Linked DNA regions of Struthio camelus. The main gene of each other region encodes a partner of the protein of the gene in region 2 in a complex. Links are inferred from orthologs where the notes say so. Each region holds a gene or a part of one and is shown on either strand. Other genes may lie near its edges.

Region 1 (7,908 bases), on a different chromosome or scaffold from region 2:
AAGCAAGGTCCTTCTTTAGGAGGACAGCTGAAGGTGATAGGTGGCTTCCTTCCACTCTGTGTACAAGGCCTGTAGTGGTTAGAGTGGGCACTCGAGACCTGTTTGTCTCCACCCTCCACTTGGGAGGGGTGGGGCGGGGCTCAAACCTACAAACTCACGTTTAGTTTCGGAAGATTGCCGCATTTAGGCAGTTAAGGGGAAGAGGAAGGGCATAATACCTTTTTAGGTCATAGAAAACACAAATTAAAGCCTAGTGACTAGGGCTAGTTTTGGATGACTTTTAAGCAGAGAAAAGATAGAGGTCCTATAAAATGGCAAACCTCACTTAGGGGTAGGCATGAGGAACGCTAAGTTAATCAGTTCTGTCCCTACCAGCTTAATTTGATGCTTCCTACTTCTTTTCCTGGAGTAGAATCAATAATCCACATTCCCCATGCCACTGACCGTTTTTTATTTCTCCTCAGTTATTTCCATTCCAAAGCAGAGTCATGCATAGTTGGTCCTTTTGTAGAAGCTATTTTACTTATTCTTTGTTGCCTTGTTCAAAGCTTTTTAAACTCTTTCTACCACATGATTTCTGAGGCAGGGAAAAGATCTAAACTGCAAATAATACTCACGTTGCATAGGTTTTACGGTAGCAAAAAGATATTCCCCTGTTTTTATTTCTTATTTCTTTCCTAATAATTCCTAACATTTATTTTACCTTTTATGAGCTGCTATCGAGTGTTAAGCTGACATGTTCATGAAAATGTGTTATAATCTACCTAGGCCTATAAATTGGTCCTGAACATCAGTCAGGTTAAAGAACATTTATTTTATACATAAAATTATGTGAAGTTAAGTGGTTCTTCCTCCAGTACTTCCCATATCTATTCTGGATTTCATTGACTATTATATGACCATCATCTTTCTTAAAAATCAGTCAATCAATATTATAAGGTGCTCCTGCAAGCCTTGACAGTAATTTTTATAGTAAGAGTGAGGACTTAGTGTATCCAAGAAATTTCATCTTATCATTCACCTCCATTTTACTTATTTTACCTTCATTGTTGAATATGAACAAGCTGCGTGAAGATTCCAGAAGTTCTTCATCCATCAGTGTGATAGATGACCATATATTCTTATTTTTAGTCAGCTATTTATCCATCAAAGGACACTCCCTTTTATTCTACAGCTAATAATATTTCTTTAAAGGCCTGTGATACTCAACACTGTTGAAAACTTCTTGGGAAACTATGCAGATGTCAACTGCACTAGTTCTATCCATATCTATACCGAATCCTTATGCAATATATTCAAAGAATTATATAGTAGTTTGACAAATAGGAATTTTTTCAACAAAAGCCATGCAACTCTTCCCACTAGCTACATTGTTTACAATAGTTCTTACTGGTTTGCCTGGTACAACAGTCAGATTGCTCCTCTGTTTCTCTCTGGATCCTTTAAAAAAGAAGCGGCATTCATGCTTGCCACCTCCAAGCCCTCAGATAAAGTGGTTTTATGCAAGGATTGACAGGTAAGCCATCACATTCCTGAGTCACTCAGGAATTACTAAGTAAATACTACCCAGTTTTAGCAAATTATTGTTCATTTTGTCTACTCCTTAACCTCTTCTTGCAATCATTAGTCAAGATAGATCCTCCAACACATCTCCCACAAAAACACATGCAATGTCGAAACATCCCCAGTTTCTCCCACAGGACACGGACGTGAAGAACCCAGTTACCTTCACTACTGCTATGGTCTCAACATCAGTACTTCTTTTAATACCGTTCCTTGACTCTCTGGCAGTTTCTGCTCATGACATATTGGATTCACCATCAGTTTTTAAGCTTTTTGCTATAAGCATTCATCACATTCCTTTTTACGAGCCTTCTCATGTTTTTACATTTACCCTCCAGAGGTTACAATCCTTTCTAGTTTTTCAGTTCACAAATAACTTCAACGTTTCTCAGGTTACCTTCTTGCATCTATTATGTCACCTTTCCTTACTCTAAAATTGAGCTATACCTTTTCTCGAGCGTCTCGGTACATTCCCTCAGGTTACTGCTACAGGGACATAACCGCGATGCTTACGCGCCCCGACAGGCCCCGAAGCACCCGAACTGCAGCTCCTCCCGCTGGAAACCTCGGGGCAGTTACAGCTTCCCGCGGCTGCCCGCGGGAGGTTCCGGGCACTTCCCAGCCCCCCAGCGCCACCTTAGGAGCCGCAGCCCCGTCCCCTGCGGGCCGCGCTGCCCTCGCTCCGCCACACCGGCCTGCGCCCCTCGCCGTCCGGGCCGGCGCCCACAAACTCGGGCCGGCCCCGCCGCTCCCCTCCGCACAGGCAGGGCTGGAGCTGCCGGCCAGCACCGTACCGCCCGCGGGCGGCGCTGCCCGCAGCAGACGAGGTCGCGGCGGCCACCTCAGCGCGGGGCGACGGGTACGCGCCGCACGCGCAGGGGCGGCGGCCGAGAGGGGTGCGGCGCAGGGGCGCAGGTCGCTTCGCCCGGCCTCACCTCTGGAAGACGTTCCACAGGAAGCTCGGATCGGCCAGCCCAGCCCCGCCGCTGCCGCTGGGCCTACAATGATACCCAGCCGCCATGCCGCGACCTCGCCACAGCGCCCTGGCACCGCGGAACCCTCCGCGGACGGGAAGCTCGGACTCTCCTCCCTGCAGTTCCGGGACGCGCTCGCTTACGCAGTGCGGTCCGTGATGTCACGAGCGGGGCAGGCGCAGAGCCATGGCGGGAAGCAGAGGGCGGCGCCCGGGGGAGTCCCAGGAGAAGCTGTGGCGGCGCTTCCCTTTCCCAGGGGACAGCTGTCGCCGCGGTCGCCCGGGGAGCTCCGCCCGCGCCGCGCCTGGGCAGGGGCGGGGCTACCGCGGACGGTAGCGGCCGGGCGGGCCGAGCCCAGCCGAGCGGGGCGGGCCTCTCTGCCCGTGAATTCTGGGAGCTGCGGGACCAGCCCCGGCCTTCCCGCTGGGCCGGGGCACGGCTCCCGCTTCGCGGGTGGTTCCCTCATGTGACAGCGCCTGGGGGCGGGGACACTGCTATTTGGGGTGAAAATACGGAAGATGGTCCCGAACACGGGTCACTCTCAGTAATTCTGACGGGTTTGGACCAGGCCTGCACAAAAGCTCCCTGCTCTTCCCCGGGAGAACCATCTCTGTGCGGGGAGCGCCTGCCCGCCTCCTGCCCTGCTCCCTGCACAGCCGCTGCCTGCAGCCTCTCCCCTGAACGGCGGATGCCCCAGGAGCGGGAGACTGAAGTGAGCCATGCTCCAAGGTTCCCCAGGAGTCTGGCTTTTTGAAGGTGCTGTATGTTAATTAAACATGTCAGCATTCCTGTTTTGGAATGGTTTCAAGTGTGTAAGAAATCGGTGAGAACAACAGATCTGTAAGATGGAACAAGTTAATGAACTCTGTCCTTTGAATGACTGTCTCAATGGACTTTCACATTACAGGTGATTCCATGGAGTACTCTGCTGAGAGCCTATGACAGAGGGACCTCAGAGACACTAATTAAGCAGATACTGATGGGCAGCCTTGCCAAATGCAGCATTGCTCCTTCAGAAACCTTTATCAAGAGCGTAACGCTTAATGAAGATATGAATGGAGGTCAGGGTAGCAGTACTCTGCAGAGCATGTTGGAACTGTTGCACAGAGAAGGCACCCGTTGCTTCAGCTTTCATTGAGCAGGCACTGGCAGCATGCAGGGGGTCTACGTTCACAATTTAATAGCATTCCTTTACACAATATGCATCATGAGACCAAGTGTCTGAGAGCATTAGCAGTCCCTTTGATCTTTCTATTCTAGACAAGAAGAAACTAAGGGGTCTCTACCCAAGCAAACTGGTTTGTCTTTGGGAAAAAATAGTGCAATTCTAACATTCAAGATGTACAGGGTTACTTCTGCAGAAGCAGCATACAGTTTATGGAGGAAAAAAGAACAGGTTAATTGATTCCCTTGGATATACTGAAGATCAAAGTCACACAGGACAAGAATTTCAGGTACATCCCAACAGTCATGGGATTGACACTGAAATGCAAACAAAATTAGTCAATATTACCTCAGTAGTTCTTAACTCACTAGGCCACAGACTGGCCATCCAAAAATCCATTCCCCTCCCAGTACCTGCAATTCCTAGGTACAGTATTAGGATTCACAGCACCCAGACCTGACAGGCTACTGAACCATCCTGGTCCTCTGGGACACATTCATACAGTCAATGGAAGAAAACAAACAACAAGCAAAAAAAACTAACAATCTTTGTTCTACCCTCTATCCAAACTGATGACCTCGCATCTCTTTTGGGGTAAGAAGGAGACAGTGAGAGGGGTCAAATAGCACAAGGTCTGTGTGTTTACAGGCTAAGCACAAGTTAATGTGAACTCCAGACCATCAGTTAGTGCAAAGTAGGCTTGCGCCTTCCTTGTACTTGTCTGACAACTGTGTTCAGGTATTCAAAGGCAATGCCTTCATTATGTCCTTCCTTGAAAACATTTAAATTCAGCAGTTTTCCAGTCATATGCTATAATTAGACCGATAACACTGGAAATTAACTTTAAGCATTAATCTGAAATTACTGTGGGATATAAGAATGTATCTTGAGTTTTGAGAAAAACATGAAATCCAAGCACTATTCACACATAGAGCACAAAGCTGCTCTACGCTTTAAACAACCGGGGGGGGGGGGAGAAGATGATTGAGATCTGTTGTAATTCTATTAGGATTTAAAGAATACACTGCTGTAGGTAGCAATAGTTTTAACATTTTATTGAATTGGTGATGCTTTATGTGCCATTTTTAGTGAATCAATGAAAAATTATTTTTGTACCTCAAGTATTTTTTAATTATTTGTTTATTCACCCTATAATCAAATTGCATGCTAGCAATTTTGTTCAACCCCTTAGTCAGGAAACTGATTTTATAATTACGTTTTCTGAAATAAACTATTTTACATCAGAGTAAATACATACACAAAGTACAATGTGAAAGTGAATTGAAGATGTTAATATATGCCCAGTGCAGTGTCATATAAAGATAGTCCTTAATAGAGTCAGCTCAGGTATTGTAAGCAATGTATATTAGCATATCCAGGTCTATTTAGTCTGCATTAAGCACTAATTCAGCTCTGCTGTTTTCAGTATAAATATCTTCATACAGCACTGTACTGTACAGTGCAGAAACATTCCATGAGAAAAATATATTTGCTAATGGCAAATATGGCTGTAAGATGGGTCAGTAAAAAGCATTCTGGCCATCAGAATCTTCATTCTTCAAACTGTAATTTGACTGATCGTTAACACTATTTTCTTTCAGAAATGTGACTATGTCTCCCCACATGAAAAAGTCCTTAGAAACATACCTAGCAAGTATCAGTATTGAACTTTACTTGAAAAAGCATTGCCAATTTTGCCATCAAATATTTCAAACCTGTTGATCCCAGACCAGTAATGACACAAAAACACAGCATTGTCAATTACTTAAGAAGTTTTGGCACAGTTAGAGTGGGAACTGTAATTTCTTTAAAAATTGGCATGTAGTTCGGATTTGGTTGGCTTGGACCTTGGTCCAAGGTCTCAATGATAGTCTGCTTCATATCTCTGCTGGCATCTCCTCTCACTGTGAGCAAAGCTGCAATATGGTCATCCCTGCCAAAGGAAAATGATAAAACTGCCATTAGTAAGAAACTTCATAGAAGTAATATTTTGTCAGAAATATTGCTTTTAGTTCACAATCCTTCAACTCAGTTTCATTATGTACTTCTAATACCTCAAGTACTTAATCAGATCTCTGGTCACTCAGTACTAGCTTTTCCAGCTCAATATAAAGCACCATTGTGACTGCTCTTAGGACTCAAGATATATTTTATACTCCCAGAACACAGAGTATGTTCATTATTCCTTTGCTGTGCCACAGAGTACTTAAGTACATGCACTTCCTATTTCAGAACATATACAGTCTCCATTAGTATCACTTATCATAAGAAAATGGTTACATTCTAAAATATGAATAATATGAAAATATTTACATATAGCTACTTTGCAGTTTCAGGCTAATTTTAAAACAATATCTGTGAGGTAGAGAGAGGACATACGGCACACACACAACACTGCACATATATGTATTTAACTTTGAGAAGAGAATTACCTGATATCGGGGTATTTACTGACTAAAGTTGAAACTTCCAGATAGAGTAGTGAAGGATCAGTTAGTTTGATCACTTCTGCAATGGCTTCAATGATGCCACAGAGTCCTTCAGTGTCTTCTCCAGATCCCTGCAAGATGAAAAGTTTAACAAAAAAAAAAAAGCCCAAAAACACAACAAAAGCAACCTCTGCCCAAATCTATAAACAATCCTTTAATTAGTGTTTTGTCTTACAATGCTGTTTAATTCCCAAAACTGCTTAATTTTCTGACATTAAGAAAACAGAATAGTTTTGAGTTCTCGCCATTAAGTCTCTTCCCTTTTCTGTTTCTAATTATTTACTGTTTGACCTACAAATATATTTCAACTAAGTTGGATCTCCAGTAAAGACATTATTTATTTAACTGACACTTATAACTTTAGCTGAACAGACCCAACCAATATATTCTCTTTTCTTAGGTACACACATAGTATAGCTTTTGTTTACTCTGTTAGAAGAGCTGCAACAAGTCAGATGCCTAGAAAATGAATATAAAAACAGGGTAGAAATGTAGGAATACTTCTTCAAAATACTCTCCAAGCCTCCACCAATTTGCAGCCTAGGAAATCCATGAGCTAGAGGTGTAATCATTTCCAGTTTATAGGCTGCAATAGACTTTTCTTCTCTGAATTTATCCAGCTGCTTTTTGAACTCTTGTAAATTTTTGGCATCCATAAACTTCTGTAGTTCAAACTCCCACAGCCACATGCTGTAGAAAGAACCACAGTCTTTTATTTTTTTGGAATTGCCACTGGCTAAATTAATTTGATGCCTATTTGGTCACCATCTCTCTGATAAAAGAATGGAATTGTTATTCACTGTCTCTGTGATGCTCACGCTGTAAGAGACCTCTGCCACATTTCCTTCTCTCACAAGTCACCTTTTTCTGACTGAAGGATTGTAATGTATTCATCTGTTCCTCACACAAGCTTACTGCACACAAGATGCATATGAATTATAGATTTCTATAGGGGCAGAATGTTTACTATTTTGGTTTTTATTCCTTGCCAGACATTGTCTGCTTTTCTGAGTGGTGTGAGGCATTAAGATGACATTTTTGAATTCTATGATCTTATTCTTGAGCAGTAACAGTCAACTCAGACCTCATCATTTTTGTGAAGTTAGAACTGTAAGTTGATGCATGTTCACCTGCTGTTTCACTGCTTAATCATTAGACCTTCTTAAGTTTTTCAACTGACTCTTGTACCCTGCCAGCTCAGGAACCGTGCAACTTAGATAACTTATGAGCATCACAGGATCCATCAAAAAATCCTTTTCGGACTTCATTGGTGATCTCCCTCCAATATGAAACTGATCCTCCTACCCTTCATTTTCCATCTTTCAATCAGTTACATTTACCAAGGCAGCTTACAACAACAGATCAGCTAAACTGTAGTATCTATTAAATAGATATTCTGGATATTCTCTGAATGATTTTAGCACTTTGAGTTCCACGTCACCCGATCCTGGAATCTGATACTATTTTGTCTATTTTTTCCATAATCTCTTCTATCTATTAATGCCTTAATCTGAAACATTTCTTGCAAAGAATCCTGCATAATGAAGGATTCTGATATAGGACCTGCCCCAACATCTTCTACAGCGAGCAGACATGAACACTGCAACCCCCACCCCAGTTTTTCTGGCTTTATCTTTCTCTGCACTCTTTTCCTTTTTTTGATCATCTGTTGGCCCTACTGCCTTTCCTACTCCTTATGTAGTTAAATAAGGAAATA
Region 2 (7,917 bases):
AGCTAGCAGGAAAGAGTCATGGACGGGATCTAAGCTCAACAAGAAATTTTCAGGTCCTTCTCTACCCACAGCGAAGCATCCCGTGCTTCCATCTGCTAGGTTGTTACAGCTCACCGGCAATGAACAGTGGCCACTGGAGCAGCCTCCAGAGAGCCAATACAACCAACAGACCGTGAGGTTCGCAGCAAAATACAAGCTGGTCACAACTCCTTGCAGACCCAGCTCTCTGCCTTCACTGTCACACCACGCTGTCCCCTCTGAACAGCAATGGCACTCACACACCATCCCTCAGCACTGAAGCTCTGCTCCTCTCCTGAAAAACTGCAGTCGAACCTCACACGCTGGCTTTTCAGCACACAGCCCATACAAGAGTCCCACAGCCATTACTTTTCGCTCACAACCCCCACTGCGTACCTGTGAGAGGAGGAGAAGGTGGCACAGGACTTCATATCCAGGGAAGGGTCCGCTAAGTCCAGCTCAAATATTTCTAGAGAAGCATTGGTACTGAACGTCGCATCCAGCTGCTGAGCAGATGTACCTATGAAGAAATACGCTCAGGGATGAGAAAGACACGCTACAGAGAGGAGCGACCGCAAAAGCGGCACCATGCAGGGCGTAAGAGCATCATCCTCACAAAAGGGACCCCGAGATGGGGTCTGATTTCTGTTTTGTTTTAGAAGTACCGCTACATAATTCTCCTCCCCACAATTCTCTTTGCGCGTTTCTTGACCTGCGCAAAAGGGGAAGCTTCAGGAGAACGCTTGTCTCTCCCTGATTACGTATGAGAAATTCAGTTAACAACAGAGAAACAAGGGACGTGCCAGATGAGCACTAAGGGACAGCGAACGGCAGGATGCTGTAGCCTTAACCTGGAAGAAGGGAGCCGGTGCTGTTGGCTACAGAGCCGCAAGTATGTTGTCACACCACAAAGATCAAACCCAGGAATAAATGGGTATCACAGGCTGGAAAACTGCCTCTGAGGTACTACATGGTATTCTCCACTGCAGCTTCAACCTGCAGGGCGTGAACTAACTACTATAACTTTCATTTATAACCACCTCATGGCAGCCACCACAGGTAGGCTAAGGTCTGCTGGCCCACACCCCAACAACTTACCGGTGGCCAGATAAATGGGGTGCTGCAGGGCAGGACTCCATGCCTGCATGGCAGTACGATCTATCTCCTTCAGCTTCATTTTGCTAGAAAAGAAAAACGTGACTCTTAAAGACAACATGGGAAGAACGTGTTAACGGGGAGCTAGAGGTTGCATGAGAACTCAACAGAAGCAGCCACAGATAACCACTTCAAGGAAAGTGGTCCCACGCTTTCACTAGGGATCTTACAGCAGCTCCTGCCTTTAAGTACTAGTCCCATTCCAACTGCAAACACCAAGCCTCAGAAAAACTATCATCAGAAATGAAACCCTGCCTGTCAAAGCCACCGCAAAGCGCTCTCAGCAACCAGCAGGACTGGATTTTAAAGATGGTCTTCACCATATAATTTAACTCTATTTCAGGGCCACGGTCAGTGAAATGGCATGTGAATTGTTCTCGATACGTATTTCCAAGGACATCCCATGGCACCTGAGAGGAGCAGCCAGACAGGACCAGAGCACGCTCCCGGGCTGGCTGCCATCTCTGTGGGATTACCTGCAGCACAGCCCAGGGATGGCCAGAGCCTGTCAGGACTGTCTTTGCGTCTGGCATCCTTCAGGGCACATCCTTGAGCCCTGCGCCCATTGTTTTTCCCCCACGCAGCTCTTCAACCGTTCACTCCCCACTCTTAAAACGGGGCGCAAGATCCGCGTGAACCGCCTTCCTTCTCTTACAGGCATCGAAAAAGCGGCACCCATGCCCTGCTGGCAGCTGCGCGCCAGCACCACGACAGAGCAAAGCCTTTCCCCAAGGCTGCCCGGTGCTCCCGCGGGGCCCTCCGCACCTCGCCCTCTCGGCGAGCGGGCAGGCAGGGGGGAGCAAGCAAGCAAGGGGAGGGGGCAACTAGGTGACGGCTCGCTCCAAACCCATTGTGCAACCCTCGCCTGCCGCAGGGGTCAGCGGCTTCTTTGCGAGCCAGGCCGGCATTTCCTGCCTTGCTCAGGCCGTCGCCGCGCCCGCGGCGGAGGCCCTGGAGGAATATTTTGGGGGGGGGGGGGAAAGGAAGGGACACTATCACGCGAAGCAGCCCCGCCGCCGCCGCCGCCGCCGCCCTCCCCGCTCCCCCGGCCCCAACGCCGCCGCCGCCGCTCACCCGCCGCGGCCCGCTCCAACGTGGCAGCCGCGGCGCCGCCTCGCCGCCGCCTTCCGGCCCCGCCCCCGCCTCGCCGCCTTCCGGCCTCGCCAGGGCGGGGCGGCCGCCCAACCGTCACTAACGGTCACCAACCGCCGCCGGCGCGGCGGCGCTACCCGCCCCGCCCCGCCCCCTTTCTCCCCCTCTCCTGCCAGCCCGTCCTCAGCAAGCTCAAGCGCAACTCGTCACAGCGCGTCAGGATGTGAACAGCAGCCAGAGACTTCATCATCGGACGGGCTGCGCGACCCCGCCGCGCTTTCAGCCGCCCCCGTGGGGGCGACGTGGGAAGGAGGTTTTTTTTTTTTTTGGGGGGGGGGGGAAAGGAGGTGGAGAAAGGAGAAGAGTATTTTGGAGAACGGGGCGCCGCCTCGCCAGGGAAAGGGAGCTCGTCAGCACCCCTGCCTTCGGCGAAGCGCTTTCACATGGCTCCGGCTACTTAAAACGACACCAGGCGGAAAGGCTCTATTGGGGCAGCCCCGTGAGCGACCACGGATAGGCCAGGACTCCCTCGCCTTCCGCAGCGCCGTGCGAAAACGCGGAGAGCGAGAGCAGCAGCTACCACGTCTCTTCTGCAGCAGCCCGCCGCCGCTGGCGCAACTCCTCGCGGCCCGAGGAAGAGGCGGCTCAGCCTGTCGCTGGGAGCGCTGGCACACGCTGCCCCCAACCCACCTCGCTCGGCGGCCGCGCTTGGGGCCTCGCCCGCGCCTCAGCCGCGTCCCGCCGCCGCCAGCTCCCGCGGCCCCTCAGCGTGCGGCCGCCTCAGAAAAACCCCAGCAGGCGCCGGGCGGGGGCCGAGCCCAGGGCGGGCCCCCCCACGGCCCCATGGCGCGCGCGGCCCGCTCGCTGCTGCGAGGCCGTGCGCACGGCGGCGGCCGCGCTGCCCCGCACATCCCGCCGCACCCGCTGCTCTTTCAGCGGCGGGAAAAAGAAGAGGGTGGGTGTTCGGCCCGCTATATATATAGGGACGGAGAGCTGCGCTCCCATTGGCTCCGAGGCGCGCCGCTCCCCATTGGCAGCTTCCTCCTCCGCCCCCGCCGCTGATTGGCGTGGTCTTCCTCCCCTTTCCGCCACTCTTCGCCACTTCCCCTGCGCGCATGTCAGCTGGGGCGGGGCCACAGCCTGGCGACGGAAATACCTCCCTGCCTTCCCTTTCAGCCGCTACGCCCAATGAAAAAGCAGCGCCCAGCGGGAAGGGGCGGGGGAAGCGACTCGCCAACCAATGGAAAAGGGCAGGCTGGGGGGGCGGGAGAGGGAGCGCTGGCAGCCAATGAGGAGGCGCGTTTCCGGGCAGGGGTGTCGGTTGGTCGGCGCTGCGCGTGCCGGACGACCGTTACGCGGCGGCCGTTAGAGGGGCTGCGGGGGAGCCGCCATGACGCGGAGCTGCTCGGCGCTGGGCTGCACCGCCCGCGACAACGGGCGCAGCCGGGAGCGCGGCATTTCCTTCCACCAGTGAGTGCCGGCGCGAGCCGGAGAGGGGCTGGAGGCGGGCCCGGCGGCCGGGACCCAACACCGCCCCCCCCCCCGCCTGCCTCTCTCTCCGTGTGCCGCAGGTTCCCGGTGGACGCCGCGCAGCGCCGCGAGTGGATCCGCGCCGTGAACCGCGTGGACCCGCGGAGCCGCCAAGCCTGGAGCCCCGGGCCCGGGGCCATCCTCTGCTCGCGGCACTTCGCCGAGGCCGACTTCGAGCGCTACGGGCTGCGGCGGAAGCTGCGGCGGGGCGCCGTGCCCTCGCGTTTCCCCCGCCCGGTAACGGCCCCCCTCTCCTTCTTCCCCTTCTGGGGGGAGGCGGACGCCGGGGGGGGGGGGCAGGGGGCTGTTCACCCGTGTGTAGGGGTGTGTGCGTGTGTCTTCCCGGCAGTGAGCGACAAGGCCTGCCGCTCTGCGGTGCTTTCGGTCCGAGCGCTAAGGCCAAGCGGCCCCTAAAGCACTGCTGATTTGCCCGTGAGTGAAACTGCCAAACCGGACTGCATGGGGAAGCGCCTGCCCTTCCCGATTCAGCCCCCACCTCTGGGCTTCCACGGAACTGAAGCCCTGGCAGCGTTTTGATCACTTCACTAACCCTCAGTCCCTTCTCCACTAAAGGACCCGCGACCCAGGAACAGGCCATCCCCAAGGGCACTGAAGCAGCCTCTCCTCAACCATTCTGATGACGAGGTCATCGCCGAGGATCACAACTACAGCTTAAAGGATGCTGTAGCAGCAGCTGGACAGCAGGCAGAAAGGAAGGAGGTACAACCATTGCCTGAGAAGCAGCAGCTTCTTGCAGCAAGGACGTGTCCCACGTACCGTCCAAGAAAAATTTCCAGCATCATCAGGGAGCTGGCAGAGAAAAAACAGTTGTCTGAGGAAACCGTGAATTTGCTGCAGGCCCACTTTTCAGGTACTGCTTGGGGCGTTTGACTAGGCAAGAGCGCTTCAGGGTAAATACTGCCTCATTCCAGTTTTATGTTTTTATTTAGCTCGGTATAGCATGGGTAAGCCCCGGCTCTTAGAGTGCTAGGGTCAATACTATAAGCTTTAATTACAAAGTAAAAACTGCGGAAATTTTTAGTTCCGGAACACAACATCCAATCCAGTGAAGGATAAAGTACCCTCACACCTCTCTGCGAAGTGAGTGCAGCGCTCAGGTGAGCTCTGTAACAAGACTGTTCAATCACCTCATACCAACATCTAGCTGACAGACAAATCAAAGATGGGGGATGTTTAATTAGGACAGTCTTGTCCTTCCTGCTGTCAGAGAAAGTGAGCTCAGTTTGCGTCTGTCATGCGACATGAAGAAGCCAGTTAAATTGTACAGTAGTCCATAACTTAGCGGTTTCTCTCTTTTGATGGAAATTTTAAGCAGTAGCCACAAGTAGGATGCAGTATCTACTCAAAGCTTTGAAATGACATTGGAGAGGAAAAAGGAAAGACTCGTTACAGACAGAGTCAAGCGGCGTAAGCAGCAGAGCTGCGGTAGGGGACAGAGTGCCTGGCCACCACCTATCCTGAGGAAAATGAGAGGCACTGTAACAGCACTTGCGCCTTCCTAGCGTCACGTCAAACTTCCTTCGTAACTCAGTTGTTCCCGAGGCAGTAGCGTGGCCTTGTATACCCTATGCTGCAATATTTCTGTGTTAACCCTCCTTCTGTGAAGGTAGCGACTGTTTACTTGCTTCACTAAGGCTGACCTTGTACTTCTTTAAACAGATTTACCCTGTGAGTCACAGAACTGGAGGCAGATGACAGAATACTCCCTGGAAATGAAACAATTTGCTTGTGTTCTCCATCTCTACCATAACAAGGCCTATGATTATCTACGGAAGATTTTTCCCCTGCCTCATCCTTCCAGCCTGACAAAGCAAGTTTATATTTTTTTCATGCTGACTGGGTTTCTAGGTACTTATTTAGAAATTGATGGAAGAGAGATCTATCATGAAAATACATTCACCTATAGTAGTTTCTCCGTGCTTCATTTTGCTAACACCAAACACCAAGCAGAGTGGGAAACAAGCGTTAAGAAATATTAATAGCAGGTATCTCAGAGAGAGGTATGACTCCAGGCACACACTTTATGCCGTCAGAGTTAACACAGCTATTACGCTAACAACTTTGAGGAAGTACAGAGCTTCCTAAATACTCCCAAATGAATACCTGAGTGAGGAAAAGCTAGATATTGGGGCCTCAGATACCACAGTATCTAATCTTTTTTTTTTTTTTTTGGCGTTCACTGGAATGAAGAAGGAATAATAAAAGGAGGAGGTGTTTCACCACTTCTTGCCACGTTCTGTAAGGAGTACTCTACAAATGATACTCCTGGACCTGTGATGTGGAGTAGAATACTCTTCTGAGAGGGAGCTAGCCCTGGGGGAATGGGCCATATACTGGAAGAAAGAGCAAAAACTAGTAAGGTCCTTTTCATAGGAGAAGCAGCAGGCGGTGTTAAAGGAGCAGTTCATTTCACCTGCAGCACTCCGCTTACCAGTCAGAAAATACGGGAGGGCGTGCACGCGTGAGCAAGAGAGAGAAGGCACGTGACCGATACAGACAGGGGCAAGCATCAGTGTGCGGGGAAGTCAAAACCAGCAGGACTATGCAGAGTGGAAACTTTGGGACCATGCGTTGCAAAAGGGAAGAGATTATAAAACTTCATTTTTCTCTGAATCTCTACTCCTAATTGTGTCCTTTCTTCTTTTCCAGTTGGCTGTCTAGTAACAATGCCGCTCCGGGCTTCAGCAGTGACATCTTTATCCGCCTTCAGGAAAGGGTGGAAGAGGGTGACCAGGCCTACCGTTACTGCGCGTTGATGGTACAAGACATGGCTCTTCAGAAGCAGCAGGAGTGGGACCCCCAGACCCAGCATCTGGTGGGCTTTGTTGACTTGGGGGCAGGCGTCCTGGATGCTGATGAGGCCCCGCTGGCCTCTGAAGCGGTAATCCTCATGGCAGTAGGCATCGCGAGTCCCTGGAGGGCACCTCTTGGCTACTTCTTTGTGAACAGCTTGAGCGGCCACCTGCTTGCTCAGCTGCTTCGTCAGACCATCAATAAGCTGAACAACATCGGCATCGCGGTGCTGTCTGTGACATCAGGTGCCACCGCGCACGGGGCTGACACAGCCCGAGCTCTGGGGATCCGTATTGACCCTGAAAGGATCCAGTGCACTTTTCAGCATCCGCCCAGCTCTGCTCACTGTATCACGTACTTCTTTGACACTTGCCACGCGCTCCAGCTGATAAGGAACACTTTGCAGTGCTTCCAGAAGCTACAGTGGCTCAGTGAAACAGCACAGTGGCAGCACATGGTGGAGCTGGCAGCTTTGCAAGAGAAAAGGGTATTAGAGCTGTGCAGACCCAGGTCAGGCTGTCGTGAAAGCAAGGAGCATTGCTATTTAAGAGTGAACCTCGCTACCCAGCTGTTCAGTGAGGGTGTTGCTGATGCGCTGGAGCACCTCCAGAAGCTGGGCCTGGCCGCATTCCAGAACTGCGGCGGTACCATCAAGTTTGTGCGTTTGATGAGCCGTCTGCGCGATGTATTCCATGGCAGAAGTCCCTACGGAAGGGGACTGAAGGGGCCTTTGCTAGCTGGAAATTACAGCAAAGTAAGCCACCTCTTCAGTGAGGCCAAGAGTTTCTTTGTCACCTTAACAGACTCTGTGGGGAGGTACGTTATAAAGAGCAAGCGCAAACTGGGATTTCTGAGTATCTTGCTCAATGCTGAAAGCCTCAAGTGGCTCCATACCAACTACGTGCTTCCAGAAGGCGCGCCTGTGCACTGCCTCCTGACGTACACCTTCAGCCTCGACCAGCTGGAGTTGTTTCTCCGGGCTCTCAGGCAGGCTTGCGTTGGCCGCGGCAACCCCACCTGCGCAATGTTCCAGGCTGCTTACTGCAAACTGCTGGCCAGCTGCAGCTTGGCACCAGGATTACAACACAGCAGTGGCTTTGGTGACATGAGCACCTTGGATATATCCATCTTCCGCCAGACAGAGCTGACCCTTGGCAGCATTCGTTCTCAGTACGATCCAGCTCGTAGGACGACTCTGGCAACGGAGTACCCCTTCAGCGCAGGCCTTCTTGTGCGGGACTCGGCCCTGAGCAATGCACTGACGGACCTGTCGCTACGTGCACAGAGCATCACCTGCACCACTGGATT

The links. Proteins that work in one complex are often made in the same cells at the same time.
Region 1: the proteins of SEC31A (region 2) and PDCD6 are in contact, whole or in part, in a crystal structure (PDB 3WXA), measured with the Homo sapiens proteins. The link is inferred for Struthio camelus from reciprocal best matches to the Homo sapiens genes SEC31A and PDCD6. Residues at the interface, in NP_001070675.1 of Homo sapiens: Asn837, Pro838, Pro839, Pro840, Pro841, Gly842, Phe843, Ile844, Met845; in NP_037364.1 of Homo sapiens: Val31, Val35, Leu48, Ala51, Leu52, Ser53, Asn54, Gly55, Thr56, Trp57, Phe85, Trp89, Ile92, Gln96, Phe99, Phe148.

The regions. Positions count from the first base shown.
Region 1 is NC_090943.1:75,423,932-75,431,839, reverse strand, and holds the start of PDCD6 (programmed cell death protein 6), read right to left. Parts: upstream 3,007-7,908; 5' UTR 2,585-3,006; coding exon 2,499-2,584; intron 1-2,498. Other genes in the region: EXOC3 (exocyst complex component 3), read right to left, coding at 5,464-5,635, 6,135-6,262. UniProt on the Homo sapiens protein: Calcium sensor that plays a key role in processes such as endoplasmic reticulum (ER)-Golgi vesicular transport, endosomal biogenesis or membrane repair.
Region 2 is NC_090945.1:10,275,276-10,283,192, forward strand, and holds the start of SEC31A (protein transport protein Sec31A), read right to left. Parts: upstream 3,015-7,917; 5' UTR 2,956-3,014; intron 2,355-2,955; exon of another isoform or gene 2,248-2,354; intron 1,200-2,247; 5' UTR 1,196-1,199; coding exon 1,117-1,195; intron 539-1,116; coding exon 415-538; intron 1-414. Other genes in the region: DNA transposase THAP9, read left to right, coding at 3,454-4,032, 4,369-4,666, 5,476-5,626, 6,466-7,917. UniProt on the Homo sapiens protein: Component of the coat protein complex II (COPII) which promotes the formation of transport vesicles from the endoplasmic reticulum (ER).